Linked DNA regions of Oryctolagus cuniculus. The protein of the gene in region 4 interacts with the protein of the main gene of each other region in a pairwise test. Links are inferred from orthologs where the notes say so. Each region holds a gene or a part of one and is shown on either strand. Other genes may lie near its edges.

The links.
Region 1: the proteins of AGTRAP (region 4) and MRM1 interact in binary tests that used the Homo sapiens proteins (3 or more experiments, as listed by UniProt). The two-hybrid records come from large-scale screens. The link is inferred for Oryctolagus cuniculus from reciprocal best matches to the Homo sapiens genes AGTRAP and MRM1.
Region 2: the proteins of AGTRAP (region 4) and MIEF2 interact in binary tests that used the Homo sapiens proteins (3 or more experiments, as listed by UniProt). The two-hybrid records come from large-scale screens. The link is inferred for Oryctolagus cuniculus from reciprocal best matches to the Homo sapiens genes AGTRAP and MIEF2.
Region 3: the proteins of AGTRAP (region 4) and FARS2 interact in binary tests that used the Homo sapiens proteins (3 or more experiments, as listed by UniProt). The two-hybrid records come from large-scale screens. The link is inferred for Oryctolagus cuniculus from reciprocal best matches to the Homo sapiens genes AGTRAP and FARS2.
Region 5: the proteins of AGTRAP (region 4) and COQ8A interact in binary tests that used the Homo sapiens proteins (3 or more experiments, as listed by UniProt). The two-hybrid records come from large-scale screens. The link is inferred for Oryctolagus cuniculus from reciprocal best matches to the Homo sapiens genes AGTRAP and COQ8A.
Region 6: the proteins of AGTRAP (region 4) and PIMREG interact in binary tests that used the Homo sapiens proteins (3 or more experiments, as listed by UniProt). The two-hybrid records come from large-scale screens. The link is inferred for Oryctolagus cuniculus from reciprocal best matches to the Homo sapiens genes AGTRAP and PIMREG.
Region 7: the proteins of AGTRAP (region 4) and ECPAS interact in binary tests that used the Homo sapiens proteins (3 or more experiments, as listed by UniProt). The two-hybrid records come from large-scale screens. The link is inferred for Oryctolagus cuniculus from reciprocal best matches to the Homo sapiens genes AGTRAP and ECPAS.

The regions. Positions count from the first base shown.
Region 1 is NC_091448.1:37,350,455-37,354,733, reverse strand, and holds the start of MRM1 (rRNA methyltransferase 1, mitochondrial), read right to left. Parts: upstream 2,829-4,279; 5' UTR 2,783-2,828; coding exon 1,908-2,782; intron 1,804-1,907; coding exon 1,710-1,803; intron 1-1,709. Other genes in the region: DHRS11 (dehydrogenase/reductase SDR family member 11), read right to left, coding at 3,856-3,897, 4,019-4,084. UniProt on the Homo sapiens protein: S-adenosyl-L-methionine-dependent 2'-O-ribose methyltransferase that catalyzes the formation of 2'-O-methylguanosine at position 1145 (Gm1145) in the 16S mitochondrial large subunit ribosomal RNA (mtLSU rRNA), a universally conserved modification in the peptidyl transferase domain of the mtLSU rRNA.
Region 2 is NC_091448.1:62,264,227-62,268,422, forward strand, and holds the start of MIEF2 (mitochondrial dynamics protein MID49), read right to left. Parts: upstream 2,819-4,196; 5' UTR 2,663-2,818; exon of another isoform or gene 2,439-2,662; intron 1,455-2,438; 5' UTR 1,448-1,454; coding exon 1,301-1,447; intron 1,219-1,300; coding exon 1,056-1,218; intron 929-1,055; coding exon 1-928. Other genes in the region: FLII (protein flightless-1 homolog), read left to right, coding at 3,848-3,910. UniProt on the Homo sapiens protein: Mitochondrial outer membrane protein involved in the regulation of mitochondrial organization.
Region 3 is NC_091436.1:165,173,114-165,177,376, forward strand, and holds the start of FARS2 (phenylalanine--tRNA ligase, mitochondrial), read right to left. Parts: upstream 2,817-4,263; 5' UTR 2,664-2,816; intron 1-2,663. Other genes in the region: LYRM4 (LYR motif-containing protein 4), read left to right, coding at 3,560-3,645. UniProt on the Homo sapiens protein: Is responsible for the charging of tRNA(Phe) with phenylalanine in mitochondrial translation.
Region 4 is NC_091438.1:156,693,236-156,696,764, reverse strand, and holds part of AGTRAP (type-1 angiotensin II receptor-associated protein), read left to right. Parts: intron 1-1,158; coding exon 1,159-1,264; intron 1,265-1,997; coding exon 1,998-2,193; intron 2,194-3,529. UniProt on the Homo sapiens protein: Appears to be a negative regulator of type-1 angiotensin II receptor-mediated signaling by regulating receptor internalization as well as mechanism of receptor desensitization such as phosphorylation.
Region 5 is NC_091444.1:67,507,673-67,511,201, reverse strand, and holds part of COQ8A (atypical kinase COQ8A, mitochondrial), read left to right. Parts: intron 1-636; 5' UTR 637-645; coding exon 646-822; intron 823-3,529. UniProt on the Homo sapiens protein: Atypical kinase involved in the biosynthesis of coenzyme Q, also named ubiquinone, an essential lipid-soluble electron transporter for aerobic cellular respiration.
Region 6 is NC_091448.1:50,099,720-50,103,005, forward strand, and holds the end of PIMREG (protein PIMREG), read right to left. Parts: intron 3,019-3,286; coding exon 2,923-3,018; intron 2,459-2,922; coding exon 2,425-2,458; 3' UTR 2,409-2,424; intron 2,137-2,408; 3' UTR 525-2,136; downstream 1-524. UniProt on the Homo sapiens protein: During mitosis, may play a role in the control of metaphase-to-anaphase transition.
Region 7 is NC_091432.1:214,969,014-214,972,542, forward strand, and holds part of ECPAS (proteasome adapter and scaffold protein ECM29), read right to left. Parts: intron 2,146-3,529; coding exon 1,937-2,145; intron 1,130-1,936; coding exon 1,086-1,129; intron 991-1,085; coding exon 798-990; intron 1-797. UniProt on the Homo sapiens protein: Adapter/scaffolding protein that binds to the 26S proteasome, motor proteins and other compartment specific proteins. May couple the proteasome to different compartments including endosome, endoplasmic reticulum and centrosome.

The DNA.
Region 1 (4,279 bases), on a different chromosome or scaffold from region 4:
CTGAGGCAGCTGGGGCCCAGGAAGAACCAGTGCTCAGGAAACGTCAAGTCTGAAACGCCCATGAGACGGCAAAGGGCGAGCTGGGGGGTGGGGCAGGCCACTGGATGAGCGACCCAGGCTGGGAGGTGCACGTGGGCGGTAGCGGAAGACAGGCGACGTTTCGTGTCTTCAGACGAGTGGACACTCCCAGAAATGAGTCTGTCCAGACGTCGAAGGGCTGAGACCTGGGGCCCGCTGATGTTTGGCGGTCAAGGGGTTCAGGAGGAACCACCGAAGGCAACTCCAAGGGAGTGCAGAGCAAGGCAGGCGGAAGCCCAGGTGACCAGCGTTTCAAGGAGGGAGGCACGGTCATCTGTGCAGACACTGTGGACAGCGCGAGTCAGAGAGGACCGAGAAGGCACACTTGGCTGTAGCAACAAGGGGGGCACTGGGGACCTGGACAAGGCTTGGGCTCAGTATGTGATGGGGGGGCACGTATGCCTGCCGGCCACTGAGAGAGAGGGCGGCTGCGACAGGGGCGGACCCTGACAGCAGCGGGGCCAGCACCGGCCCCTCCGGCCCCTCCGAGCAGGTCTTCCCCAGCAGCGGGAGGGCGGACCGAGTCCTGGCCCGGATGCTGGCAGGAAGAGGTCGGGGTGCCGTCTGGGGCTCACAGGAGGGCTCTGCCAAGTGTCTCCCGTCTTTTCAGGGGCTACTTGTTCAGGGGCTGGAAGTGAGGCCAGCGAACACCGCTTCCGACCAGGCTTGGCCAGAGCTCCTCCAAAGGAGGCTCCTATAAGAAGGTAAAGCCAGGAGACGCCTCCAGACACACTCGCGGTTCTGCATTAAGCAGCCTCGAGCTACACGTGGTGATGAGGCACCTGCAACGTGGCTAGTCCAAACTGACATGTGCTGCATGTTGAATTTGATACATATAACTACAAAGTACTCTAATAATATTTACAATGATTATACGTTAAAATTATAATCTAATACTGGATGGATATTAATTTTAATGCTGGATAATTCTGGAAGAAACACATTATAAGATTATTTTCACCTTTTTTTATTTTTCAACATAGTTACCAGAAAATCTTAAATTACGTATGCGGTTAGTTATTGAACACCCTTGTGCCACACACACACACACACACACACACACACACACACGCCAAGCTCGCCAGAGGGGCTGCCAAGTGTGGAGCAATACTGCCCCCTGGTGCCCAGCCAGAGAAGTACAGCTAAAGACAGGTGCACGGACACCCCCCCTCCACACACACACACCACGGCCAAGAGTTTCTTTAGATGTGGTCCCTTCCTGGGTATCAAAGGCTAAAGCTCCCTTTGTTCACAGATCCTTTCGGGTAGTGCCCCTACTCCAGGGGCCCAGCCTTCCTGTCCACTTGCTGCCCACGGCTGAATAACAAGCACTTGCTAAGATCTGCTAGGTAGGGGATGAGACGCCGCAGTAGGCTTACAGAGGAGGCAGAGCTGTAAGCCTAGGGAAGCAGTGCAGGAGGCAATAACGCGCCAAGCCCCCACCTTCAGACAGGGCTCGCTCTGTGCCTGAAATACTCCGGGACGCTTCCCTTCCGAAAGGGGACTACGAGGCCTTAGCAAGCAAAGCCAACAGGTCCCCTGCTCTGTCCCTTCCCCCGTTATCTGCTGGCAGAACGCCCTGGAAGAGGCTCGGCTGGCCTCACTTCCACACCTTCCCCTCTCGCCATTACCTGTAGAAAACCGGCCAGGTCATCCGTAGAGAACACGTCCATCACCTCCATTGCCCCTGCGCTGGCCTTGCTGACTACCGGGGTGAGCGGGCAGCTGCAAGGTGCCCCAATCCCCGCATTAGGCTGGGCAGTCTCGGGCCGGCGCCCTTCCCGTCCCGGGCGCTTCCCACTGCACACGGGGAGTAAGGGACATCGTGCCTGCTTCTCCGGCTGGTGATGACCTTATCCACTCCAAGGAAGTGAGCGGAGCGCAGCACGGCCCCAAGATTCCGGGGATCCTGGAGCCCGTCGAGAACGAGCCACAGCTGCTGGGGGTCGGCACCTGGGCCCGCCCCCATGGTCTCAGTCCAGGGCTGGGGCTGCAGAGGGCTCACCTCCATGCAGACGCCCTGGTGGACCTGCTGGCGGCACAGGGCGTCCAGCTTTTGCCGTCTGGGCCGCAGAACCGGGATGCCCCGCGCCTCGGCTGCCCGGAGCAGCTCCGCGCGCTCCCCCTGCAGCCCGGCCCTCCCGGCCTGGAGCAGAAGCCGCGCCACGCGGCGGCGGGCGGCCCGCAGGGCCAGGAGACACGGGGACAGGCCAAACAGCAGCTCTAGCCGCGGAGCCGGCGCCAGGTCATCCAGCCGCAGGCGGCCGAGCTCCTCCCCACCCGGCCGCACCCCACGCCGCGCCTCCTGGGAGACAGCGCGGGTCACGAGGCGACCAGAGCAGCCCCGGGTCGCGCCCCGGACGGCCGGGAGCAATCCCATGGCCCCGCTGCGGTTACCCGCTCCCTGGGGCTCACTCTTGGGCACTGGGAAGCAGGGGAGGCGACGGCTGCCCCAGCCGGAACCCAGCTCCGAGACTACCCAGAGCCGCTCCGCAGAGCCACAAGCCCGGCTCCATGCCTCCCGAGCTTCCGCGTTCGGGCGGCCCCGCCCCCGGCCTGGCGGCGTCTCGCGCATGCCCGGCCCCCAGGGCGTCCCCACAGCGCCCTCTGCGGGGCTGGCTGAGCGGCGCTCCAAGGTGTGGCTCACTCTGCTGTGACCTTCGAGGTCCCAGGAGGTTTGGGGCGAGGGGGCCGGGGGCTGCATTTACCACACACCAGCAAGAGACACCTCAAGAGGATGAGATGATCGTCCCGTTCGACGGAGCCAGTCTCGGCGCCTCCCTCCCCGCTTCAGGGGCTGGTGGCTTCCCCCAGGCTTTTTGTCACACCTCCTGTTCCTTGGCCACTGATTGTCTTCCAGCGTGGCAGCTCTGGGCCTGTGACTGCCTGCTGACAAGCTAGCTGGTGCCCTTGGCCTACCCCCAGGGATCCAGACAGGAGCCACCCTTTCCAGCCCGCCCCGTACTGCACCTACTCCTGTGTCTGCACAGTGCTGGTGCTCTTCTGCCTCCAGCCTTGCACACCCGGCTGCCTTCTCTGTGTCTTTGGCAAATTCCTGCCCATTGTGAAGATGCAGCAGGAACACCCTCCCCCCCAATCTTGAGCCCACCTGAGACCATCCACACTCAGGGGGAAGGCAGGACCTTCCTTAACCACAGAGCCGCAGAACGGAGACACACTTCTGAAGCCGAGGCTGGTTGGTGTGATTTTTCTTTAATGATCACAGTGAGATCCTCTGGGAGCTGGGCCTGACACTGCTGCCACAGGCAGAGGTGGTGATGACCCCAGCAGCAGCCCAGATGCCAACACTGGAGGGAGAGCGGGGGCAGGGAGAGGAGGAAGCCTGGGGCCCAGGATAACCACTCAGATAGAAAGTGAGGGCCTCCCTCCACCACCAGCACCCTGAGGGCCAGGGGCTGGCGGACAAGAAGACAGGAGCAGTCCCGCTTTGGGCCACAGCCCCGTTCCCAGATCAAAGGGAAGAGACTGAGGACAGCAAAGGCGAAGGAGCCAAGGTGAGGGGCGAGGGGCGAGAACAAGCCCAACAAGCCCGACAAGCCCGACAGAGAAATGACCTGGGCACCACCTCCCCGCCCCAGCCCATCACCTTTGCTATGGAAACAATTTGACAAAGTGATACAAAAACCTCCAACAAATGTTCTAGCCCTTGGGGGAGTGGGGGCAGGAACGGGACCCAGGGTGCAGCAATCAGAATCTGAAATCCAGAGGCAGGAGCCAAGCCTCGCGGGGTGGGGAGGGAGGAGCTCCCTGCGGGCTCTAGGACATCTGCTCCGTGGGTCTCATCTGGATGTCTCCGATCTGTGGAAGGCACAGGCGGGGGGCAGCCCAGACACTCTCCCCGCGCCCGTCCGACCTCCCGGCTCCCCTCCTCCGGGGACGCCTGGGCTCCTCCAAGGTGCGGACACCCGAAGACACTCACCTGGACATGCGGAGGGGTGCTGAGGACGTAGATGACAGCCTCGGCCACATCCTCGGCTTTGAGACACTGAGAGCACCGGGGGGGGGGGGGGGAGGGGGGTTGAGACAAGGACAGAGTGGACCCCACCCCACCACCCCCGCCCCGTTCCCCTCCACCACCAGGGTTCCTCCCGACACTCGCTCCCGCTCCGGCCCTCAGGGAAGGGTGACAAGCTGGCTAGGAGGATTCCCTCTGCCTTCACTTAGGGACCGAGCAGGGCCC
Region 2 (4,196 bases), on a different chromosome or scaffold from region 4:
TGGAGCAGCAGCTCCAGGGCCTGCAGGAAGCGCTCCCCCAGGGCCGCCTCGGTCCAGTCCACGTCCTGCTCCCCCGCCCGCAGGACCACCTGCGTCAGGGGCCCCCGGCCCAGGCGGGCCAGGGCGGGGTGGCCACGGCAGACGCCACATAGCAGCAGCAGCAGCCGCCGCCGGCTGCCGGCGTCCTGCTCATCCAGGGCCCGCAGTCGGGCAGCCTCCTTGGGGTACAGGTCGTGCAGCCAGAGGTTCCCAGCCAGCCCCTCCAGGGGCCAGGCCAGGAGCTGGCAGTCGGCGCCCGTGCCGGCCCCGGCGACGGCCAGGAGCACAGCCACGGTGAGCTCCAGGCGTTCGTGCCGCACCTCCAGCAGCAGCTCCTCCGAGGCCACGCTGGGCCGGATCAGGCACCCGAGCAGCCCGCTGATGGCCGGCCAGTTGACGGAGGCGGTGAGCGCCTTGCGCAGCAGACCCAGCAGGAGGCGGGAGGACAGGTAGCCGCCCACCAGGAAGCGGTCCCAGGGGCTGCTGCCGCGGGGGCGGAACTCCAGCTGAGTCCTGCGCACGGCCCAGCAGCGAGGGTCCCTGGCCACGGTGTCCACGCCGGGCACCAGGCTCCAGAGGCCCGGCTCCAGCGCCAGCGGCACCGAGAGGCGCACGTGGTCCTGGTCGGCGGCCCCGGCCTGCAGCCCGTCGTAGAGCGGCCCGCCGGGCACGAGGGCCCCAAAGGGCAGCTCGGGAAACTTGTTCCGCAGGTAGGCCTGCAGCTCCAGGGCGATGTCGCCGGCCAGCTGCTTGGCCAAGGCCACCTGGGCCTCGGGGATGGCCACGTGGGCCTGCTCGAATGCCAGCAGCTTCTCCTGGAAGGTCAGGCACAGCGGGGCCGGGGGGCTGAGCAGAGGCGGCGGCTGGGGACCGGCGTCCGCGGGCCCCTCTGCAGAGGCAAGGGGGACACGTCAGAGCAGCCCACAATGCACTGCGGGAACCCGACCGCATCCCAGCACCCTGGCCACACAGCTCCAACAGCCTGAGCAGGGACCCGGGCGCAGGCTCCGGCTCACCTGGCGTGGAGGGGGCAGGGGGCCGGCGTGGCTCGGGCAGGCTGAGGGCGGCAGGTGGGGGCCGGGGCTGCTGGTGCGGCGTGGCCTTGAGCAGGCTCAGCTCCGTCCAGCCGTCCCCCTTGGCGTCATCCTCGTCCCGGGGGCCGGTGGCCCTGTCGATGAGCTGCGGGCAGAGCGGCGCTGAGCAGGGCACCTGGCGGCCGGCAGCCATGACCAAGCCCCAGCCCCCGCCAGCCCGGCCTTACCCGCTTCACGGCCAGTGTGGCAATGCCCAGCACAGCCGCGCCGCCCACACCCAGCACCAGGCGGGCGTTGGCCAGGAGGAAGTCCACGGCGCCGCCCAGGCCCTCGCCGCCACGCCGCTTCCCCCGCTTCTGGGAGAACTCCGCCATGGTCCACCTGCAGGGGAGCCGGGGGCGCGGGGTAGCTGCGGGGTGGGGGTGGGGCGGGGAGGGCACCTGGCTGGGCAGGCACAGGGGCTCTGGGGTCCACAAGGAGGAGCTTCTGGAAGATTCCTCGTGAGTCAGGGGCTGCTAGCAGGGCTTCCTGCACGGAGCCGGGGGAGCAGCCACGACCCCTCCCCAAACCGGCCAATAACCCAGCCCCTGGCAAAGGGGGCTCACACGGAGGCCCCTGGCAGAGGGTCCGGGCTGCCAGGAGCCATCATGTAGAAGGGCATTGAGCAGGGAACTCCAAAGATGAAGACCCCAAAGAGAGGGCCCCCTGGCTGTGGCCGGCTCAGCACAAGGTCAGGGTAGGGGATGGGGGGGCAGGGCCTCCTGGCTGTGGCCGGCTCCTCAAGAGGTCGGGGCGGGGTCGGGGGGTGGGGGTTGGCTGCAGGATGCTAAGCCAGATGCAGGCCTGGAGCCACAGCCCAGCTGGTAGGAGGTGAGCAGTGCCCGAGTGGAGGCAGAGAAGGCCCACGCCCACCCTGACCTCGGGCCCTGAGGGTGCAGGGGACGGGTGGCCAAGGGCACCCGGGAGCCTCAGCGTTGGACGGCGAGGTCACGGCCCGCCCTCCTGCTGCGCCCTGGGTGCCCTGCCCCCCCACTGCCCGGGGCAGCTGGAGCCCGAAGCTCTGTGTGACTCAGCCCGGGACACCTGCCTCTTAGCGCCAGACTAAAAATAAGACGGGGCTCCGGCGTCCTGGGGGAGGTCACGGGCCAGCCGGCTGACCCCCGCGGCCCCGGCCACGGACCAGCGCTGCCATCGGCCCCCAGGCCTCCACGCTGCCAAGTGCGTAAAGCACTTGAAATGCCCACCCCTCCAGCGCACGCGCACCTGCCCCAGCGAGGGCTCCGTGCCACCTAAGGGGTGGGGGGCGCGCAGGAACCGAGCAGTTAAAAATAACCCGCAAGCCGCCGGCGCTGGGCCCGGGCTTACCAGGCCGGCGCGGCAGTCCCTCGGTGGGCCGGTTCACAGGCGAGGACAACGGAGGCCTTGGGAAACCCAGTCAAGCACCCGAGCCGGGAACGGCAGGGCCGGGACTCGAACTCGGGGCTCACAGGAATCCTCCCGGGCCCCGCCCCCGGACGTGCGCCACACCTAGGGCTGGGGGACCCGGGATGCGGGTTGTCGGGGAGGCCCCGCCGGGCTCCCAGCCGTACCTGCGTCGCGGCGTCCACACACCGACCGGACCACGCAGCGGGCCCGCCGGGACCCGGCGCCGGAACCCGCCTGCGGATGGAACGTGAAGGACCCGGGCCCCGAAGGCCGAGGCGCTGGCGTAGGCAGACGAGCAGGCCCTAGCTCCAATCGGAGCGCTCGGCTTCTTCAGGGGCGTTCCAAAACACTGCGAGGTTCGGCCAATGAGGGGCCTGCCACGCCCCTTCTCCGCCCTGCGCGCTCCCTCGGAGGCGGGGCTTTCCGGGGGCACTCCGGATTTAAAGGCGCAGGGCTGCATTATTGGGCCCGCAACGTTTGCGTGGTGCCTGCTTGGAGCCCACAGAGGCGCGGGGGATGCGTGCGCGTGTGCGTGTGTGATGTGAGCCTCCCGCGTGGAGGAAGCTGGCTGGGCCCCAGTTTCCTTCCTCTGGCCGGGCAGACGGGTGGTAGCACCTGGTCCAAAGGCCTGCACGCCGACCCCTAAGTCACCTTTGCGGGAGCGCCTTAGCACCTGTCTGCGCGCGGGGTAGGGGGTGTGCCGCCGGCCCCGTGCGTCCCTGGGCCTGCCCTCTGTCCGCCTGGGCCTCAGTTTCCCGTGCCGTACAATGGGGACGTAGGCAGCGCCCCTGGGAAGGGTGGTTTGCATGCGGGCCTTAATGAGAACCACCTGCCACGCACCAAGCACCTGCTGCGTGCTTCGAGCCGCACGTGCGCGCGTGGTCACTCGCTGCCGGCCACCACCTTGGTAGGGTGAGGAAGGTGGGGCCGCCCCGGCTCCGCACGGAGACCGCCGGGGACCCCTTGTGCGCGGACGCAGAGTGCGAGGCCCCCAGAGCGCAAGGCCCCCGGGCCCCGGCGAGGTCCCCAGAGCGCAAGGCCCAGGGCCCCGGCGAGGTCCCCAGAGCGCAAGGCCCCGGGCCCCGGCGAGGTCCCCAGAGCGCAAGGCCCAGGGCCCCGGCGAGGTCCCCAGAGCGCAAGGCCCCGGGCCCCGGCGAGGTCCCCAGAGCGCAAGGCCCAGGGCCCCGGCGAGGTCCCCAGAGCGCAAGGCCCCGGGCCCCGGCGAGGCCCGAGGTGCCGGCGGCGGCGGGCGCGGGCGGGTTAACGGGGCGGAGTCGGCGCTGGCCCAGCCCGCGGCTCCCGAGCCGCCCCCAGCGCCCGGCCGGCCCGGCAGCGAGAGCGGCGCCGCCATGGAGGCCACCGGGGTGCTGCCGTTCGTGCGCGGCGTGGACCTCAGCGGCAACGACTTCAAGGTGAGCGGCGATCCGGGCTCGGCGCGGGCACCACCTCGCCCGCCTCCGGCCACACTGCGGGCGGCGGCCGGGGCTCTGCGGGCCTCCCCACCGCAGCCCGCAGCCGGCACCCCGGGCCTCCGCCCAGCGTCCCCCCGCGGGAAGGCCGAGCCCGAGCGGCGCGGGCCCAGGCCGGGGGAGGGCGTGGGCGCTGCGGGCCTGCGCACCGCCGCCCCGGGGGTCTCACGGCCCAGCCGGCCGCTGACTCAGGGCCGCCGCTGCCTTGGCTGCCCAAGGGCGGGCCCGG
Region 3 (4,263 bases), on a different chromosome or scaffold from region 4:
GCCCCCATGCGCTGCTTAATACACAGCAATCTCTAACTTACACATCGTTCATCTGGCTTCCCCTATCTGTTTCCTAAGAGGAAAGCTTTGGTTTCGGGCAAAGTCCTGGTTGAATGTCTTTTTTGTACTCCCTTAATATCTGGAAATATCACCATGATCAAAGCACCTGTCAACAATAAATTACCGTTCACCTAGTTCCCCATATGCTCATCAATGTAACTACATCTTCTGACGTAAAGGCTGGCACTTCAAAATGAGCAGTGAGTGCTGCCGGAGGAGGGCAGGGCTTCAGCTTGCTCAGCTGTGCGAGCCAGTGAGCCTCTCTGTGATGTGTCTTCCAGCTCCACAGCCTGTCAACATGGGAGATCAGCAAAAACGAGTTTGCAGTGAAGATCCAGGTCCACGCAGGGGCAGGATAACTTCCATGTAGTACACGAGTTACTTCTTCCAGACAACATTTCCTTTACACGTCATTTTGGTCATTAAGCTGAATGTTAAACCGCTGCTTATTATGGTTAGAGAGATTCCTATTCACAAAGTGTAAGGGTTTACTGACAAGGCTGTCTTTTACGTCAGGTGACACATGGACCTACGTAGTGAAGAACAGGCGGCTGAGAACCACGGACAACTGAGAATTACGAAAATTTTCACATTTTCAGGCCTGGGTCATAGTGGGTGGTTACCCCTTAGTTTATGGTTATTACCCAAGAAAAACCCCAGCTCAGAGTAAAAGGTACATTGAAGGACATGTGAGTAAGGTCCAGCCTCAGCTGCTGGTCCAACTCTATCTCAAATAGACTTTTTGCTTGAAATATAATAAAGATAGTTGCCTCTGCAATGAAGATACACAAAAATACAGATTTCGCTTCAGAATGCATTTTTTATTCTTTCAAGACAATGACAGCCAATACACCAGTAAATCGTTTCAAGTTAAACACTTCTGTAAAGCATAGTATCAACTGGTTTTAAAGGGGAAATTTTTTAGGCTAATTAAATTCAGTAGAATGAGGTTAAGACGACCAAAAAATAACAGGACGAAACGATTCTCAAGTTGGGTAGCTCCCAGAACCAAAGCAACCTCTGAGAACTCCACCACCCATCTGATGGGACAACGTTTACAGAAAACGAAGAGGAGCAGAGAACAGGATCCACCTGGCTGCAGCTTACTCAATCAACACACACTCAACTGGCTTCAGCCTAAGTAGTAATTGGCTACACGGGCCTCTACAACCAACCCACAGTCATTTACTGTGATTAAGTTTCTATTGGTTTGGTCTGTGGGCCCAGTGCAGCAACCTGGTCCAAATCCACGGTGTCCCACAAACTCAGCACTGGAAAGCTGTCACTTTGCTAACCTCAACCTCTCTGTCCTCACAGGTGACCCAGGCTCCCCAAATAATGTAAACATTACGTATTTCTTTAGACAACGCTCATCACCACAAAGGCCATTTAGTACACTACACGTATCAATCACTGAATTCACTGATGATTATGCATAAATAAAGCAACTGCATGAAGAATTTACGCCAATCTTACTTTCAGATGAAAGCAAAAGACAACAATGTAATCTCCAGCACTTTTAAGGAAACCAAAATTATTCTGTTTTTCCTTCTCAGTGTGATGGTTAGCTTGACCCGTAACTTACATTACTGGCGTAGTTTTTCCCAGTTGTCACTTATTTTACAGCATCAGCACACAACAGCGTATCCTAAGAGGAAAGAGGTCTGGGCCTTATTCTATCTACTTGGTCCTGGATCCTCTGAGAAACGCCTAAAGGAAAACAACTATTAAAAGCTCTTGCCTCTTACCTGAGGCAGTGGCCTGACAGTTTTGCTAGCATGTTTTAAAATCAGAAACAGAAACCTGCTGTGAGACGCCTAGATGTCTGAAAACTTACAGAAATCAGACAAGAGGCTTAAAAGGTTCTTAATGAGAGTATATTCTATCCGCTCTCTGAAACAATGCCATTGCACCAGGACTTGGGGCAAGGACCCAGGGCTGCAAATACGCCAGAGTGCGGAAAAGTCAAACAGGTGTTTTCTGCAAATACAAGTTGCTGCTGCACAGAGCAAGTGTCGCTTAAAGCCCAGAAATACGACAGACGCAGACAACCGAGGCTCTGTGACGGCGCAGACGGATGCCCGTGCAAACTTGGCTTTCACGTTCGAAGACACTGCTTGCGGTCTTTCGCGCGCAGAAAGCCGCGGCTCTTCCTAACGATGGTTATATAAAGATTCCGGAAAAGGAAAGCGCTTTGCAACCACGACACCTGGCTCAGGACTCCCTTCGTCCAGCCTCGAGCACAAGGACCAGAAGGTGCGACTTTGTCCACCACGTCACGAGGCGGCTCAGCAAAGTTAAGTCTTCTGAGATAAACCCACGGGAGAATACCTGCTTAGCTTCTCCCCTGGGACGTCAAATGAGTGCCCGCAGCCCCCTCGTCCCAATTAAGCACCAGCGTCTACAGTCCAGCTGCCTCGCCTTCCTAATACATTTATTAAATTACAAATTTCCGAGGACTCTACACATCAAAGTTTAAAAAAAAAAAATCACCAGCCCCCAGCAACATCCCGGAAATGTGAAACGATACGTCCAAAAGTCAAGTCGTTGCTACACCTGCGGCCCATGTCACACCCCGACGCGGCAGCGAGAGGGGCACTCACCCACAGCTCCACTGGGAAACCCAGAGCCGTGAGAGTTCAAATCAGAAGCGCGGCAGATCGCCCACTCTCAGTGGTAACCGGCGGATGCCCAAACGCAGGGGCGCCCGTGCGTGCTGGGCGCCGCCATTTTGACGGAGAAGGGGCCTTGTCTAGAGGCCCCGAGGGAGGCTGCCCCGAGCGGAGCCGGATCGCCAAGGGAGTCGCCATCACCCAGCCTGCCACCTCCACGCCCATCCCGCCGCACTCTCCCCACGCAATGAACGCCTTGAAAACCAGGCTCGCCGACCGGGGTCGGCCCAAGTCAAATTTCCCCGCGAAATCAGCACCGCGTGTCAGGCAGCGCGGAGGACAGCCTCCGGCGGCGGGGGTGGGGCGGCGGCGCGGCGAGCGCTCGGTTACCCGGGCAACGCGGCCCTCAGCGCGCCCGCCGCTGTGACCGGGCCCTGCGCCCCGGGACGCCAATGTCGCCGCCACGCACCCGGCCGGTTCGCGAAGGCGCCCCGGGCTCGGGCTGCGCGCCCTCAGGACTCGAGCCTCCGACTTCCGCCTCCGAGGAGCGGGGCTCGGCGCCAAGGCGGCCCCAGCTCTCCGCTCCCAAGGCCTAGTGTTGCCCCGCAGGCGGCCGCCTTCCCGTCCCTCTCCCGCCCGCCGCCGAGCCCCGGAGCGTCCGGGACGAGGCGCGGGCGCCGCCCCCTTAGGTGCCCGAAGCCCTGCCTGCGCCCGCCTCCCCGGCGGTGCACGCCCAGGTCGAGGCCCGGCCCGCTAGCAGGACCGGCCCGCCGCCTTGCGTTTGCTCCGTGGCTCTTGCGCACGCTGCAGCTTGGTGGCTCGGGTTCCACTCGGGACCTCCGCTAGGAGGACCCGTGTATTCGTATTTTTTTTTTTTTTAATCCAAAATGGCAGCCTCCAGCCGCGCACAAGTGTTAGATCTGTACCGGGCGATGCTGAGAGAGAGCAAGCATTTCAGCGCCTACAACTACAGGTGACCCGGCGGGCGGCGGGGGCCGGGGAGGGCTGCAGGCGCGGGTGTCCCCCCGACCCAGAGCCCTTGGCGGGCGGGGAGCCGCCGGGGAGAGCGTGACGCCCTGCCCGAGTGCGGCGCCCTGGCGCCCCGGCGAGAGCCGCAGCTGGCTCGGGTCTTGGGCGCAAGGTCAGGGCCAGGTGTGGGTGCTGAACGCGCGCGCTGCCGGTGGTGAAGACAGGACCAGTGCGCTGCGGGCGCGGGGCTCTTCAAAATGCACACCCTGGAAAAAAAAAAAAGTCACGGCTTGGTTTTCAAGTGACTGCCTCCGGATAAGTTGTCTTCCTTTTATTTCTGTTTTCCCGTGAGCTTTCTGAAGGGCCCAGGTGTAGGAAGGTGGCCAGGGTGGAAGTGGCCAGTTGATAGCACGTGGCCGAAGCTGGAGGCTCGTCCCGGCGCTCCCTTTAACCGGCTTAGGTATCTTAATTGGCTCCTTCGGTTGCAAGAATCAAAGCCATACCACTGGGGGCCTGGCGAATGGGGACCCGTTACACAGCAGGGAGAGTGGGGAGGGGGTCTCAGGGTTCCTGGAGATGAGTGTGTGTGCGTGGGACAGGGATCCCACTTACAGGGCCTTCA
Region 4 (3,529 bases):
TAAGCCTCTGCCTGCATCGCTGACCTCCTCTCTGGTGCCAGTTCGAGTCCTGGCTGCTCCACTTCTCTTCCAGCTCCTTGCTAATGGCCTGGGAAGGCAGTAGAAGATGGCCCAAGTCCTTGGGCCTCTGCACCCATGTGGGAGACCCAGAAGAAGCTCCTGGCTTCAGATCGGCCTGGCTGCAGCAGTTGTGGCCATTTGAGGAGTGAACTAGTGGATGGAAGACCTCTCTCTCTCTCTCTCTCTCTCTGCCTCTCTCTCTCTCTAATTCTTCATTTCAAATAAATTTAAAAATCTTAAAAAAAAAAAAGAGGCACCCTGCCGCACATGAGGCCGCGTCGTGGGCACGGTGAGAGGGCAGGCCAGCCCGGACCGCGCTGCCTGGGTCTTGCATGCAGCCGAGCAGAGGGGCAGGAACACGGCTGTAAGCCGACTCTTCAAGCCCAGCCCTGCCGCTCGGCAGCTGTGCGAGCCCTGGCGAGTTGCTCAGCTTCCCTGTGCCTCCGTTCCCTCATCCCCAAGACGAGGGTAAGAAGAGTGCCCGCCTCCCAGAGCTGTCACTGACGCAGAGCACGGAGGCGGGTGACGCTGACGCACTCGGGACTGTTGCAGACAGCAGCCGGTGCCCTGTGAGCTGGCCGGCTCTCACTGAGTTGACAGCAGTGTGGTGGAGCCACGCCCTGAAAACTGAACCGGGCAGGCACGTGCTGAGAGGCAGCGAGGAGGGTGGGGAGGGGAGGGGTCTCGGAGTTAGCATCTGAGCTGAGACTGACAGGACCAGAGGGGCGCGTGCTCAGAGGCCGAGCTGTTTTATTCCCGACAGAAAACCAGTGGAGAATTTTTAGCAGGGCACTGACCTGTCTCATTGCCGATACTGTTGCTATTTCGAGAACAGACTGCAGGGGGCAGGAGTGGGAGCAGGGAGACTAGTGTGGGGTGGCCTTGGCCTTGGCCGTGGCCACTGGTGCTCGGGCGAGGATGGGACCATGTGACCGGATTCAGGATCTAGGGGGCAGGTAGAGACGGTGCCAGCGGCCTCGCAGACTGCACGGCTTCTCAGGAGGCCTGGGACCCTGTGCAGGAGGGAGGGGCTGCAGGAGGGGCGGGCGCCTGCCGGGTGGGGGCCCCCTGACCTGACCAAGGTGCCTCTTCCTGCAGGGGCTGCATCGTGTTCTCAGGATCCTACGCCTGGGCCAACTTCACCGTCCTGGCCTTGGGCGTGTGGGCCGTGGCCCAGCGGGACTCCATTGACGCCATAAGCATGGTGAGCCTGGGCCGAGCCGGGGCCCTGCCGTGTTTCCCTCGCCCAGCCAGTCTGCTCCCTCCGCCTCGGGCCCCATTGTGCACGGGTGCAGCCTCGGAACTGAGCCTCCTGGGCTACCAGCCCGCCTGGCCTTCACTGGCCTGGCCCGCTCTGAGAACGCAGGTCTGCTCTTGCGGGCCCCAGGGAGGACGCGGGCTCCACGTGGCACCCCAGAGTGCCTGCTGTCCCCAGCAGTCGCTCATGACCCTGGGACCTGCCTCTGGGGCTCTCAGGAGGGATGTGGCCACAAGGGAAGCCCACTGCTTCGTGACATCGGCGACACAGCTCTGCTGATGGTGTGGGGCTCCCAGCACGTGCTGTGCCGGGAGGTGGTGAGCGCCCAGCAGGAGACTCTTCAGGCTGAGGCCGTGGCCTCTCAGGGTGATCAGGAAGGGAGTTTCTTTGTGGTGGAGACAGATGGGTTGGATTGCAGGGGGCCTCCGATTTGGAGGCTCTGGAACCAAGCCTGGTCCCCATCACGGCGCCAGGGGTGACGGGGAGGTGGGCAGGGCTGGGGCTGTGATGGTGCCAGCAGCCTGGGTCCAGCCCTGGGCCCTGGCATCCCCACTGGAGCCCCTCCGCAGGGGTCTGCCAGCAGGTCCTCAGCACCCGGCCAGGCGCGCGCTGCCGCAGTGGGGTGGCAGCAGGGGTACCGGGGGCGGGGCGGGCTGTCACAGGATGGCGTGTCTTGCAGTTTCTGGGTGGCTTGCTGGCCACCGTCGTCCTGGACATAATCCACCTCGGCGTCTTCTACCCGCGGTCCGGCCTCTCGGACACCAGCCGCTTCGGGGCTGGCATGGCCATCCTCAGCCTGCTCCTCAAGCCCGTCTCCTGCTACCTCGTCTACCACATGTACCAGGAGCGCGGCGGGGAGCACCTCTTCCACTCAGGTGAGGACGCCGCCCCGGCCGCTCGGTCTCCCCATCCCGGGAAGGGCAGGCACGCGACCCTTGCCAGCTGTCAGCCTGAGGCCGAGCTGGGGTGTGGCTCACTTCCCGGGGGCAGCTCTGGGCAGTCTGCGGCCTGAGGCCCGCCCTCGGTGCCCACCTGCTCCTGGCCCTGGCCCCCCTCTCCGGCACATGGGGACTCCCCGGTCCTGTGCAGAGCCCATGCTGGGTGGGCTGGGAGCGTCAGCAAAGACACCACGGCCCCGCCCAGCCCCACGCTTGCCCACGCCTGCGCTCTCAGAACCGGTCTCCCTTCTCATGGTGCTGAGCCAGTGTTCCTGCCCTCTTGATACATGACCTCACTTCCTCCCCCTCCCCTGAGAAGTGGGGAGTGGTGGGGTGTAGGCGTCTACTTTCTACTCCTGGGAACAGAGGCCTGAGTTTCCCATGATTGACCTGGGAGAGCAGCTGGGGCCCCTACCCTGGCAACCTCAGCAGTGCCTGCACCTGCCCCAGGGTGGAATGCCCGCCCATTGCACAGATGAATAAACTGAGGCCCACAGACTGGGACTTGTTCAGGATCCCAGGACAAATGTGCAGGGTGCTTGGAGGCCCACCACCCTGCCAGGGACCTGGCTCACGTCCTCTGGGCATGGCCACTGTGCAAGAATCCAGATATGGATATCTCTCCTGGATATGGTATTGCGATGTCCTGTGGCTGGCATCCGTGGGCCGGGGTCCTGAGCGCTGCTGGGAAGCATGTTCCCCGGGCCCTGCTGCCACGCTTTGAGCCAGGCTGTGTGACCTCGGCAGGGCTCTGACCCCTTGAGCCTCGGTGTCCTCACCTGCAAAGGGAGGGCGATGAAAGTACCTGCCCCGTGGGCTCATGGGGGGATTGAACAGTGCACCGTGGAGACACGGGGGGATTGAACAGTGCCCCGTGGACTCATGGGGGGATTGAACAGTGCCCCGTGGGCTCATGGGGGGGTTGAACAGTGCCCCGTGGGCTCATGGGGGGGTTGAACAGTGCCCCGTGGGCTCATGGGGGGGTTGAACAGTGCCCCGTGGACTCATGGGAGGATTGAACAGTGCCCCGTGGGCTCATGGAGGGGTTGAACAGTGCCCCGTGGACTCATGGGGGGATTGAACAGTGCCCCATGGGCTCATGGGAGGATTGAACAGTGCCCTGTGGACTCATGGGAGGATTGAACAGTGCCCCGTGTAGACACGGGGGGATTGAACAGTGCCCCGTGGGCTCATGGGGAGATTGAACAGTGCCCCGTGGAGACACGGGGGGATTGAACAGTGCCCCGTGGGCTCATGGGGGGATTGAACAGTG
Region 5 (3,529 bases), on a different chromosome or scaffold from region 4:
CGGGATCTGCTCAGAACCCAGATGGCAGGGCAGTGTAGATGGCGCTCCAGGTAGGGCACCCGAATGAACCATCACGCAGCCTGTGAAGGGCACAGACGCACTCTGGCTGCCCTTGAGGGGGTAGGAGGGACTCTCGTCCTGCACTCTGTGAGCAGCTGTCAAGGGCTTCGCTGGGCAGGGCAGAGTTGGCTGGGGAAGGACAGGCAGCTGCGACTGCCAGGACTTCAGCCCACTGGGCCCTGCAGGGAACAGTTTTAGGAGAGGGATGGTCCCACCCAGTGTATGGTTTGGTCCAGAGGAAAGAGCACTGGACCAAGAGAAGTCAGAGTGCCCGCCCTGAGGCCTGGGTGTGCTGCGGTCACTCACCTCTCTGCACCTCAGGTTCTCTGTAGGATGTCCTGGGGCCTGGATGTGGGGACATGTGGGAAGTGGCAAGTGTCCTCCAGTCCCCACTCAGCAGTCTGAATCCTGCTGTGGGCCACTGGGAGTCACCCAGGGCCCTTGAGCCTGAGTTCTTTTCTTTTCTCTTAGCCTGGTTCAGAAGGAGAAATCGATGGAAGCAGACAGCTGGAGTTTGACGTGGAACTGGTCAGTATGAGTGTGGAGCCCTTACTGACCCTGTCCCCTCTCTTTCAGCCCTGGAGCATGGCTGCCATGTTGGGAGATGCCATCATGCTGGCCAAAGGCCTCATCAAGCTGACCCGGGTGGCCCTGGAGACCCACCTGCAGCACTTGGGCCTTGGTGGGGAGCTCATCCTGGCAGCCAGGGCCCTACAGTCCACGGCTGTGGAGCAGATTGGCATGGTCTTTGGGACAGAACAGGTAAGAGGGCCTCTCTCAGGAAGTGGAAGGGGCCCTGGCAAGAAGAGGCCTGGAACTTGGGCTTTTGGCGAGACCAAGGGGTGTGAAGCAGGACAAAGACAGCTGGCCTTGCCTGGAGGAGAGAGCCCAGCAGCTGGCGTGTCCCCTCCTTCCAGGGTGGGGCGGGCTCCCTGTGCGAGGCCCTGGCTGCTGTAACAGAATGCTGCAGACGGAAGGGGGCTTAAGCTGCAAACATTTATTTGTCATGCTTCTGGAGGCTGGAGAGAGTTCCAGATTAAGGCACCAGAAGATTGATACCTGGTGAGGACGCGTTTCCTGACATACATACCGTCTTCTCAGTGTCCTGACTCAGCAGAGAGGACAGGGGCGCTTTCTGTTTTTTTTTTTTTTTTTTTTTTTTTTTTTTTTTTTTTTTTTTTTAAGGATTTATTTTATTTTTCTGAAAGGCACAGTTACAGAGAGAAGAGGAGAGACACAAAGCTCTTCCGTCCATTGGTTCACTCCCCAAATGGCTTCGATGGCTGGGGATGCATCATGCCAAAGCCAGGAGCTTTTTCTGGGTCTCTCTCACACGTGTATAGGGGCCCAAGCATTTGGGCTATCTTCTGCTGCTTTCCCAGGTGTGTTAGCAGGGAGCTGGGTCAGAAGTGGAGCAGCCGGGACTTGAACTGGCAGGCACATGGGATGCTAGCCTTGAAGGCGGCAGCTTTGTTTGCTATGCCACAGTGCCAGTCCTTGCCTCTTGTCAGAGGGCCTGAGTCCTGTGTGTGTGAGTTCCACCCTCACAACTTAATTGCCTCCCACCTAATGTCATATGGGGGTTAGGTTCCAAAACTTGAATTAGGGGGCACATGTGTGCAGCCTATAAAGGGGCTCCTGTGTCGATCAGCCTGGCTCAGTCTTCGGAGCCTCTTCCCATGGGCCTGCTGAGCCCCAGCCAAGGCCTGGCCCTGGGTTCCTCTTTGCTTTTGCCAGGTGTCTCTGGATGCCTGACTTGGGCGCCCTGCTCCTTTCCAGGCTGATGGCTATTACGGCCCTGCTGAAGGCAGCCAATCCTCCAGCCTCTTGCACTGCCTAGGGGAGGGGATTCCCTTTTGTGCGAAGGTCCAGGAGCGTTGACTCTTATGTGCTAGGCACGGTGTTAAGTGAACACAAGTGCTGCAGGGGTGACGCTGAGCCCAGCTGGCCGCAGCAGAGCACTGTGCATGGGTTGCCACCCTGCGTCCCTGGCCTGAGGGCATGGGTGCAGGTGCATGGGCCCATGCAGCCTAGCAGTTACATGGCAGGGGCTGCCCTGTCTCCTCCCTCCTTCTGTTTTGTGGTTGGCTGGCCTCCTGGACAAAGGACATGTTGCTGTCCCTGCCCTGTCTCATTGTTGCCTCTAGGCACTGGCAGCTTTGGAATGCTCAGCCACTCCCCTCCTGTTGTCCCGGGCATCAGTGTTTTCTTGACCACACATGGGTTTCTTTACTCTTTAGAGAACTTCACACTGGTGTCTCACTGCTGACCTAGGCCCGGGACAGCCCAGATCCCAGATGCTCACTCCTATTTCTCACATGAAGCTGACACCAACAGGTTTGCTATGAGACCTGTGACTATTAAGAGACAAGACCAGAATCCTTGTCATTGTCCCTGCCCTGGCCATCACTGCTGAGGCTGGGCTGTGACCCAGCCACTGTATTTGGTGCTGTTTGTGGTGAGCAGCAGTTGCCTTCCTGTTGGGAGTTTTGCCTAGAAAGTGAGGTTGCCCCATTTACCGTGGCTGGTCCAGAAGTGAGGCTGCATGCCAGGACTGGGCAGCCTTGGCCATGAGGATGAGGGCCTCCTGCTGACCTCTGCTCCCTCAGGCCTAGCGTGCCCTGGAGGCAGGATGGTGATCATCCACTATCACAGAGGAGGTGCCTGGGTGAAGAGACTGTTTCGACTGTTTTTCTGCCTTCGGTGCCCTAAACACTGAGGTAGTTGGAGGCTCCCTCCTCCCCATGGGTTCCACCACTGTGGGGACCTGTCTGCCTCTAGCTCCTGGGCTGTGTGCACGTAGACTCAGTGTGTCGGGTCCCGCTGGGCGACCCCGACTGCCCATGTGCCCCCCCACCACAGTGCTGGTGATTTAGTGTCGGGCAGCCGCCGTGGCAGTTACAGGGCAGGAGGAGGGGCCTGTGCTGCGGCGCCCAGGGCCCTGTCCCATGCTCCTCACTGGCTGCTGGGAGGTGCCCAGTGGGCTCAAACGCGACCCGTTGCTACTGCAGCAAATCTGCTGTTAGTTGGCCCCAGGGGTGGCCAGAGGACAAGCCTCAGCTTTGAAGCCCTGCCCTGCCGTTGGCTGACTCGTGGCCTTACCAGTCATGGCAACTCCCAGCCTCAGTCTCCATTGGTGAAATGATGGTGACAGCCAGGCTCTGTCCTCCCACAGGAGAGTGCGTCTGATCTCTTCAGGGCCTCCGATATCTTGGAAAGCTGAGACCGAGAGGACTTTGGATCTCTGGCTGTTTGTGCATGACCTGCAGGTGGCCCTTTGGGGTTATTCCATTTCAGTTAAATGGGGGATCCAGGCCACTGGCTTCCCTCCAGGAGTCGGTCAGTCCTAATAATAGCCTCCTCAGGCAGTGTCCCTGACCCTGGCCCCGCATAACTCTAGGACTTGGGGGAGACCTAGTCCTATTTTCAGATGAACCAGTAGCTCAAGGTCACTCCAGGTTGAAAAGCT
Region 6 (3,286 bases), on a different chromosome or scaffold from region 4:
AAACTGGAAAAAGCCCGCAGAACTGCACTTGCGGCTCTCGGGAATGGCCTCCCCACGCGTAGCTCTGTGGCCAGAGCAGACCGGCTGTTTCCTAGAGAACCCTTCCAGCCCCTGGCGCACCTGCTCACAGCAGCTGGGGGACAGCTCTTCCTGCCTGACCAAAGCTCCTCGTTTTTCACGTGGCATGTTTGTTCTTCCCCACGCTGGGGCTGTCCTGGCCAAGGACGCCCCTGCCACCTTCTTCTGTCATTGTCCTGTTGGGGTTCAGGGTGCATTCCTGGCCAGGGCCTGCTCTTCCAGCATCATGGATTTTTTTCCCCTAAAGATCGCGACTCCTCTGTTAGGCTCCGCAAAATATTAAAAAAAAGAAAAAGGTAGATTCCTTTCCTGCATTTGGGTCGACAGCCCTCTGTCTTGGTGCCTGGCTACAGTGAGGGCATTCGAAGCCCAGAGATTTCTAGTGGAGAAGGGGAAGACAGGGGGCATGGGGGCTCTTAGAAATGAGGGGAGGACCAGATCTCATGTGCTGTTTTTTTTTTTTTTTTTTTTTAACTGCATTTTTACCACTCTGGAGCCTGTGCCAGTGTCCTACAGACAAAACACGGCACCAGTCTTCCCGCAGCAGCGGCACCCCGCCAAGGCAGGTGGACCCGGGGCCAGAGCTGGTTCGGGTTTTGCATCCCTACCATCTCGCCCAGCGCAGGTGCAGCCCCGCCCAGGAGGGGCTCCCTGCCGATGAAGGAGCATCACAGTCCACCTGGCCTTAAACAACCAATTTCTCACCGAATCCCAGGGGGGTGGGGGGCCAAGTGCCCTGGAAACCTAGAATCTTTGGCTCAGCCAAAAACAAACCTCCTCCCCTCCCCTTCCTTTCTGGGCTTGGTGGGGGGAGGGGACTTTCTTACACATCCCAGCTAGGATCAAGTCCAAGCAGAGAGGCCTGGTGGGCTCTGCTGTCCTTGCTGAGACAGCGGGGAGGGGGCGAGGGAAGTCGGCCAGGCCCTCCAGGACGCACTGCGGAGGGAGAGACGGGAGGAGGGCTGCTCGCGCGCGGGGACCCCCACCCTCGACCCCGCTGTCCTAATTGTTTACTCTGTGGTGGCAGCCAGTCCGACCTTGTCCGTGGCCTGACCGTTCCCAAGTGTGTGACGTTCAGTACTCTCTGTGCCGGACGGTTCCGTGGTGAGAAAAGGTTTGTTAGATTCCTTGCGGCTGCCTGTACACAATCCGTTAGAACAGAAAATGTAAAACACCAGATTTCTAACATGACAAAAAACAGCATTATGGAGTTAAAAGATTTTTACAACGGGTCTCGATTTTGATGTGAGCTGGTTTTTAACAAATCTCAAACGTTGTCGATTAAATAAAAACCTTATTTGCCTTTAAAACGTACTCTGCTCTGAGCTCAGTTGAGGCGCCAGGCCCTGTACTTGTGTGTCCCTTAGCTGGGGGCGGGGCAGGCCAGCTTGGAGGGGGAGGGCTGGGAGGCACCAAGCGGTGGGGGTCACGGGCACGGAGTCTGATGCACAATGAGTCTTTATTAGGAGCAGGCGCTGTCGTCTGGGAAAGTCGTACACGGATTCCTTTCTAATAAAATGACAAAGCAGATTTCTTAAATAACTTACAGAGGGCCACCCTCCCTGCACACCCACAGTGCCCTATGCTGAACGTATCAGTAGGTGGCCGGGAGCCCAGGGTCCTAGCGCCCGGAGACATCTCCTGTCCCTTCCTCCAGGGCCCTGGTGCGGGGAGCAGGAATGGAAGCTGGGACAACCCCCCAGGGACCCTGCTTCTGGGTGCAGGGCCCAGGCCCTGCCGCACCCCCAGTGCCTGCGCGTCACACTGGAGGAAGCAGCCCCAGGGCTCGAGGAGGGGATGAATTTCTAAGCCCGAGAGTCCCCTGGGGGAGCAGAGCAGAAGAAACAATTTCTTCCATGTCTGCAAGGCCCCAAGTCGCCGCTGGCTGTGGCAGGCAACAGGCCTAGAGGTGGCCAGTGCAGGGGAGCTCCGGGGCCCTCTGTTCGTCAGGTGCTCGTTAGCAGCAGGCTGGAGGGTTGGGGCCTCCTGGGGGCTTCCTCCAGGGCCTCACGGGGTGGCCCAGACGTCCTGGGTGTGGTGCCACACGGGGCTTGTTCCCTGCAAGACAGAGCTCCCTTGGTGCCCTTGCTGTGTTCAGGGCAGGGCAAGTGGGGCACACGATGGCTGTCCCCCGGTGTGGGGGCCCCTGTATGCTGGGTTAGCAGTTCTGGCCCCGAGCAGCCAGGGGGACTGGTACAGTCCCTGCTCTCCTGTGCCCATCCACTCTGAGGTTTTCCAAAAAAGACTCGTTTCTTCAAGTATGCATGCATGCTCACGCGTGGAGGTGGGGGAGAAAGATGCTAGAAAGATGTGTGGGCAGAGGGCCTTACCTGCAGGGCACCGTCCTTAGTTGCGGAGGAGAGAGACGGTCATGTCGCCACTGGGGATGGGAAGGGGAGGGATTGACGCTGCTGGGGGCTGCAGGTTTGAGGGCCCCGCCAGCCTGGAAACGTGGGGGTTCCACGGCCACTCTGGGCCATCATTCCAATGGGGAAATGGCCCCAAGTTGGTCCTGAATGCACAGCCCGGGAAGCCGCAGGCAGCCATGGCCCTCTGCCCAGCACCGCAGACAGGCAGGGCGTAGAGCCCCAGAGAGCACTGGTGGAGGAGCAGGTCTTCCAGGAACCCAGTTCCTGGCCGCACGTGAGGCCCGGCTGATTGAAGCGTGGGCTGCCAAGGCCCAGGGAACCCTCCCCCACCGCCACACCTCCCCTCCCAAGGCTCTGTCCCTTCTCACGGCTGCGGTCAGGAGGGGCAGGGGCTGGCCAGAGCCACCCAGCAGGTCCGAGCCACAGCCAGATGCCAGCCTGCAAAGACGGAGTGGCTCAGGGGCTGCCCACTCACCTGTCTTCAGCCACTATGGCTTTATCCAGCTTCTGGGACAACTTCTGAAGGAGCTGAATTCCTGCCCCTGCAGGCTCAAGGTCACTGTCAGACTCACTGCACAAGAGCAAAGCCACACGGGTGGCAGTTGGAAACCTGTGACGGGAGCTTCCCCCCAGGCCCTGGTGAGCTGGGAATGCCTCACCCCGGGTCCCTACTCTAAGCAAAGGATGTTAGGGTGACTTGAGCATCTGGCAGAGATCAAGGCCCATGAGGGCCCAAAGTCACAGGCAGATGATTTTGTAGACAAGTGAGCCCTGCTACTCTGCAGCTGGAAACTGAGCTGAGCCTCTGCCCGTTACAGACCAGGAAGCTAAGGCCCTGT
Region 7 (3,529 bases), on a different chromosome or scaffold from region 4:
ACTCATCCAGACAACTGGTGACAGAACCTACTAAGACACCAGTCTCCCAAATCCATCCACTGTCATTATGCATGTAACAAATTATCTAAGCAGCCTAATTACTGAAAGGAAACAACTGCAAATTTGCAACAAAAATGTTACAAATGCAATTTCAAATAGTTAATGCTTCACAAATAGGTAAACTACATTCTTCTTCCTCTCAATGTCCAACCTTTAAACATGAGTATTCATTTTCCAAATGACACCAGTTTTGTTTTGTTTTAACCAAAATCCCTCAGTGCACAGCAGAGGCAATCGCCATGACACACTGGCTTCCTGTCTTCACTCTCTAAGGTAACTGGGGTGGATTCTGCAGACACACCAAGGCAAAGGTCATTACGATACTACAAATCCACTTGCCCCTTTCCCTAGCTTCAATTGCCACCAAGGGTGGCCACATGGCCAAGCACTGGCCAATGTGATATGACCAAGTACCAGAAGGCAGCTTCCAGAACTCTCCTTAAGAAAGAACTGACACATCCACTGTGACTGCTTTGTCTCCTCTGCCAGCACCTGCTGAGAACAAAGACAGGACAATGCCATTCCCCAGGGATGGCGGAGTTGGGAGCTGCAAGGAGCCAGAATCCCAGAAGACTTTGTGAGGCCCCCAACTACTAGTAAGAGACAAACTGCCCATGATATTTTGAGATTTTTCTGCTATTTGCAGCTAAACTAATACTAATAAAACAAGCACTCACGACACAGGAAAATTTTTTTTAAGTATAAACCAGACGAGAGAGAATATAAGTGATTATTACCTTCTTTATGAGAGGTATGACAATGTCAGAAAACTCCTGGAATCTGTCTTCTTTGGTGGCCTTCAAGACATCAGCTGCACAGCTGATTGCTACAATCTTGTACTTGAGATTCTCTTTGCAACACTCCTTCAGAACAGCCTGAAGAATTTCATTCGTGCTGGGTTGATTGGGCACGGACTTCTCTAGCTCTGCACTGTACGATCCACAAAAAATAAGAAAACCATTAATAAAGGCTGAAGCGTTCAGGCTCCGTTTAAGCAATGCTATCTTGAGGGATAGAACAGTTACCTGCAAGCTGTCACCACACAGGCAATGGCTTTCAGTAGCTCTTCCTAAGGAGTTGGTAGAAGACAAAATAGCATTAACTCAAACATGTCATTTACACTTTCTCCATGTTCACTCAACTTGGAATAGTTAGTAACTGTGATAACAGAAATTCACAAGAGTCATCTTATCCTTAACGCACTTCACTGTCACAGGCACACCCACTGACTCTGACTCCCAACCACGGATGCTCTCCATTTCCTAGGAAGGGTCTTCAGAAAGTTCTTGGAAATGCACATTATCTTTTGATTCCACTTCCCCATGAGTTGCTGACATCCCCCTCAAGGCCAAGTGAACAGATGTGACCCAGGTCACACGGGCACAAGTACCACAGAGTAAGACACATGTGAAGAAGATACTGGATAAAGGAATCAGACAACTCCGCATCATTGGCCACCACTGACTTCTACATGCGATTCTTCATTATATTCAGATGCTACCACAAGCTCATGTGCCCTGCAGACTGTCCACTGCATGTATCTTACTACAGCCCTTGTGGAAGAATGACTGCTACTAACTTACAGGCCCTACGTGTGAAACAAGCTTGTCTTGCTAATCATTTATGCCCAGCCTGGACCTGATCATAATGCCAACAAACACAAAATAATGACAACCTGGTTTAAACAACTTGGAGGCTGAATATGTGAAATAAATCAATCTCCATCATTACTCTGTATTAGTCAGACACACGGGTTACACTTTCAGATGAACTATCACAGTTAATTAGATGAAGTGCACCCGTTTATAGAAAACAAAACGGAGTCATAAGCGTTTCAGGAACCCTGTGATGTAACAGGGCACGAATGGTTCTTTACCTTCCCGGCCCACGTTCTCCCAGCCAGGCCTTGCAGCAGTGCACTCAGGACCATTCCTAGGTAGGGAGGCACTAGGGAGCTGGTTTGTTTTGCAATTGATGCCATGGCAATTGCACCCTGGGCTTTCATTTTCCAGGACTGAGACTGTAAAGCCTTCTGGGTAATGGTAATCAACTCCTGCAGGTATAATCGGATGCCACCAAAGGAACCTAGGTTTTAAAAAGTAAAGTTAAAATAACTTGTAAGTGACAAGAAAAATTAACTGAATTTTCTAAGCCTGAATAAAAGTCAGTGACCATCAGTCGAAAGCAGTAATTCTCCACAGTTAAAATACATGCCACCCTCTCAAAGGGAAAGACAGTGAGTGGTGCTGTAACTTCTTTTTACAACAGAACAACTTTAAGAACTTGCATACATTTGCAGGAGGGTGTTATGTAAATGGTCATCATCTATTAATATATGTCAAGGGGAAAAACACATCTGAGAAACTTTACCCTGAGGCAGGCATTTGGCCCACCACTTAAGATGCTCACATCCAATACTGGAGTGCATGGGTTCAAGTCTTGCCTCTACTTCCAAACCAGCTTCCTGCCAGGGCACACCTTAGAAGACAGTGGGTGATGGCTCAAGTACTTGGGTCCCAGCCACCCACATGGGAGACTGAATTCTAGGCTGCTAGTTTTGGTCTGGCCCAACCCCAGATGTTCCAGGCATTTTGGGAGTAGATGAGAAGATGGAATACACTTCTTTTTTTCAAATTTATAAAAAATAAGGAGGTAGGGCTGGCGCTGAGGCATAGGTTAAGCCTCTACCTGCAGTGCTGGCATCCCATATGGGCACCTGTTCAAGTCCCAGCTGCTCCACTTCCTATCCAGCTCCCTGATGATGTGCCTGGGAAAGCAACAGAGGATGGTCCAAGTCCTCAGGCCCCAGCACCCACATGGGAGACCTAGATGAAGCTTCTGGCTCCTGGCTTCTACCTGGTTCAGCCCTGATCACTGTGGCCATTTGGGGAGCAAACCAGTGGATAGACGACCTCTTTCTATTCTATATTTCTTTTTTTTTTAAAGATTTTTATTTATTTATTTGAGAGGTAGAGTTACAGACAATGAGAGGGAAAGACAAAAAGAAAGGTCTTCCTTCCGTTGGTTCACTCCCCAAATGGCCGCAACAGCCAGAGCTGCGCCGATCCAAAGCCAGGAGCCAGGAGCTTCTTCCAGGTCTCCCACTTGGGTGCAGTGGCCCAAGGACTTGTGCCATCTTCTACTGTTTTCCCAGGCCATAGCAGAGAGCTGGATGGGAAAAGGAGCAGCCGGGACTAGAACCAGCACCCATATGGGATGCCGGATCCACAGGCAGAGGATTAACCTACTGTGCCACAGTACTGGCCCCTCTCCTCTATATTTCTATCTTTTGAATAACTAAGTAAATCCTTTTTTAAAAAGAAATAGGAAGCAAGGAGTCAATGCTGTGGCGTAGCAGGTAAAGCCACCACCTGGCAGTGTCAGCATCTCATTTGGGCACCGGTTTGAGTCCCGGTTGCTCCTCTTCCGATCCAGCTCTCTGCTAGGGACTGGGAAAGCAGTAGAAGAT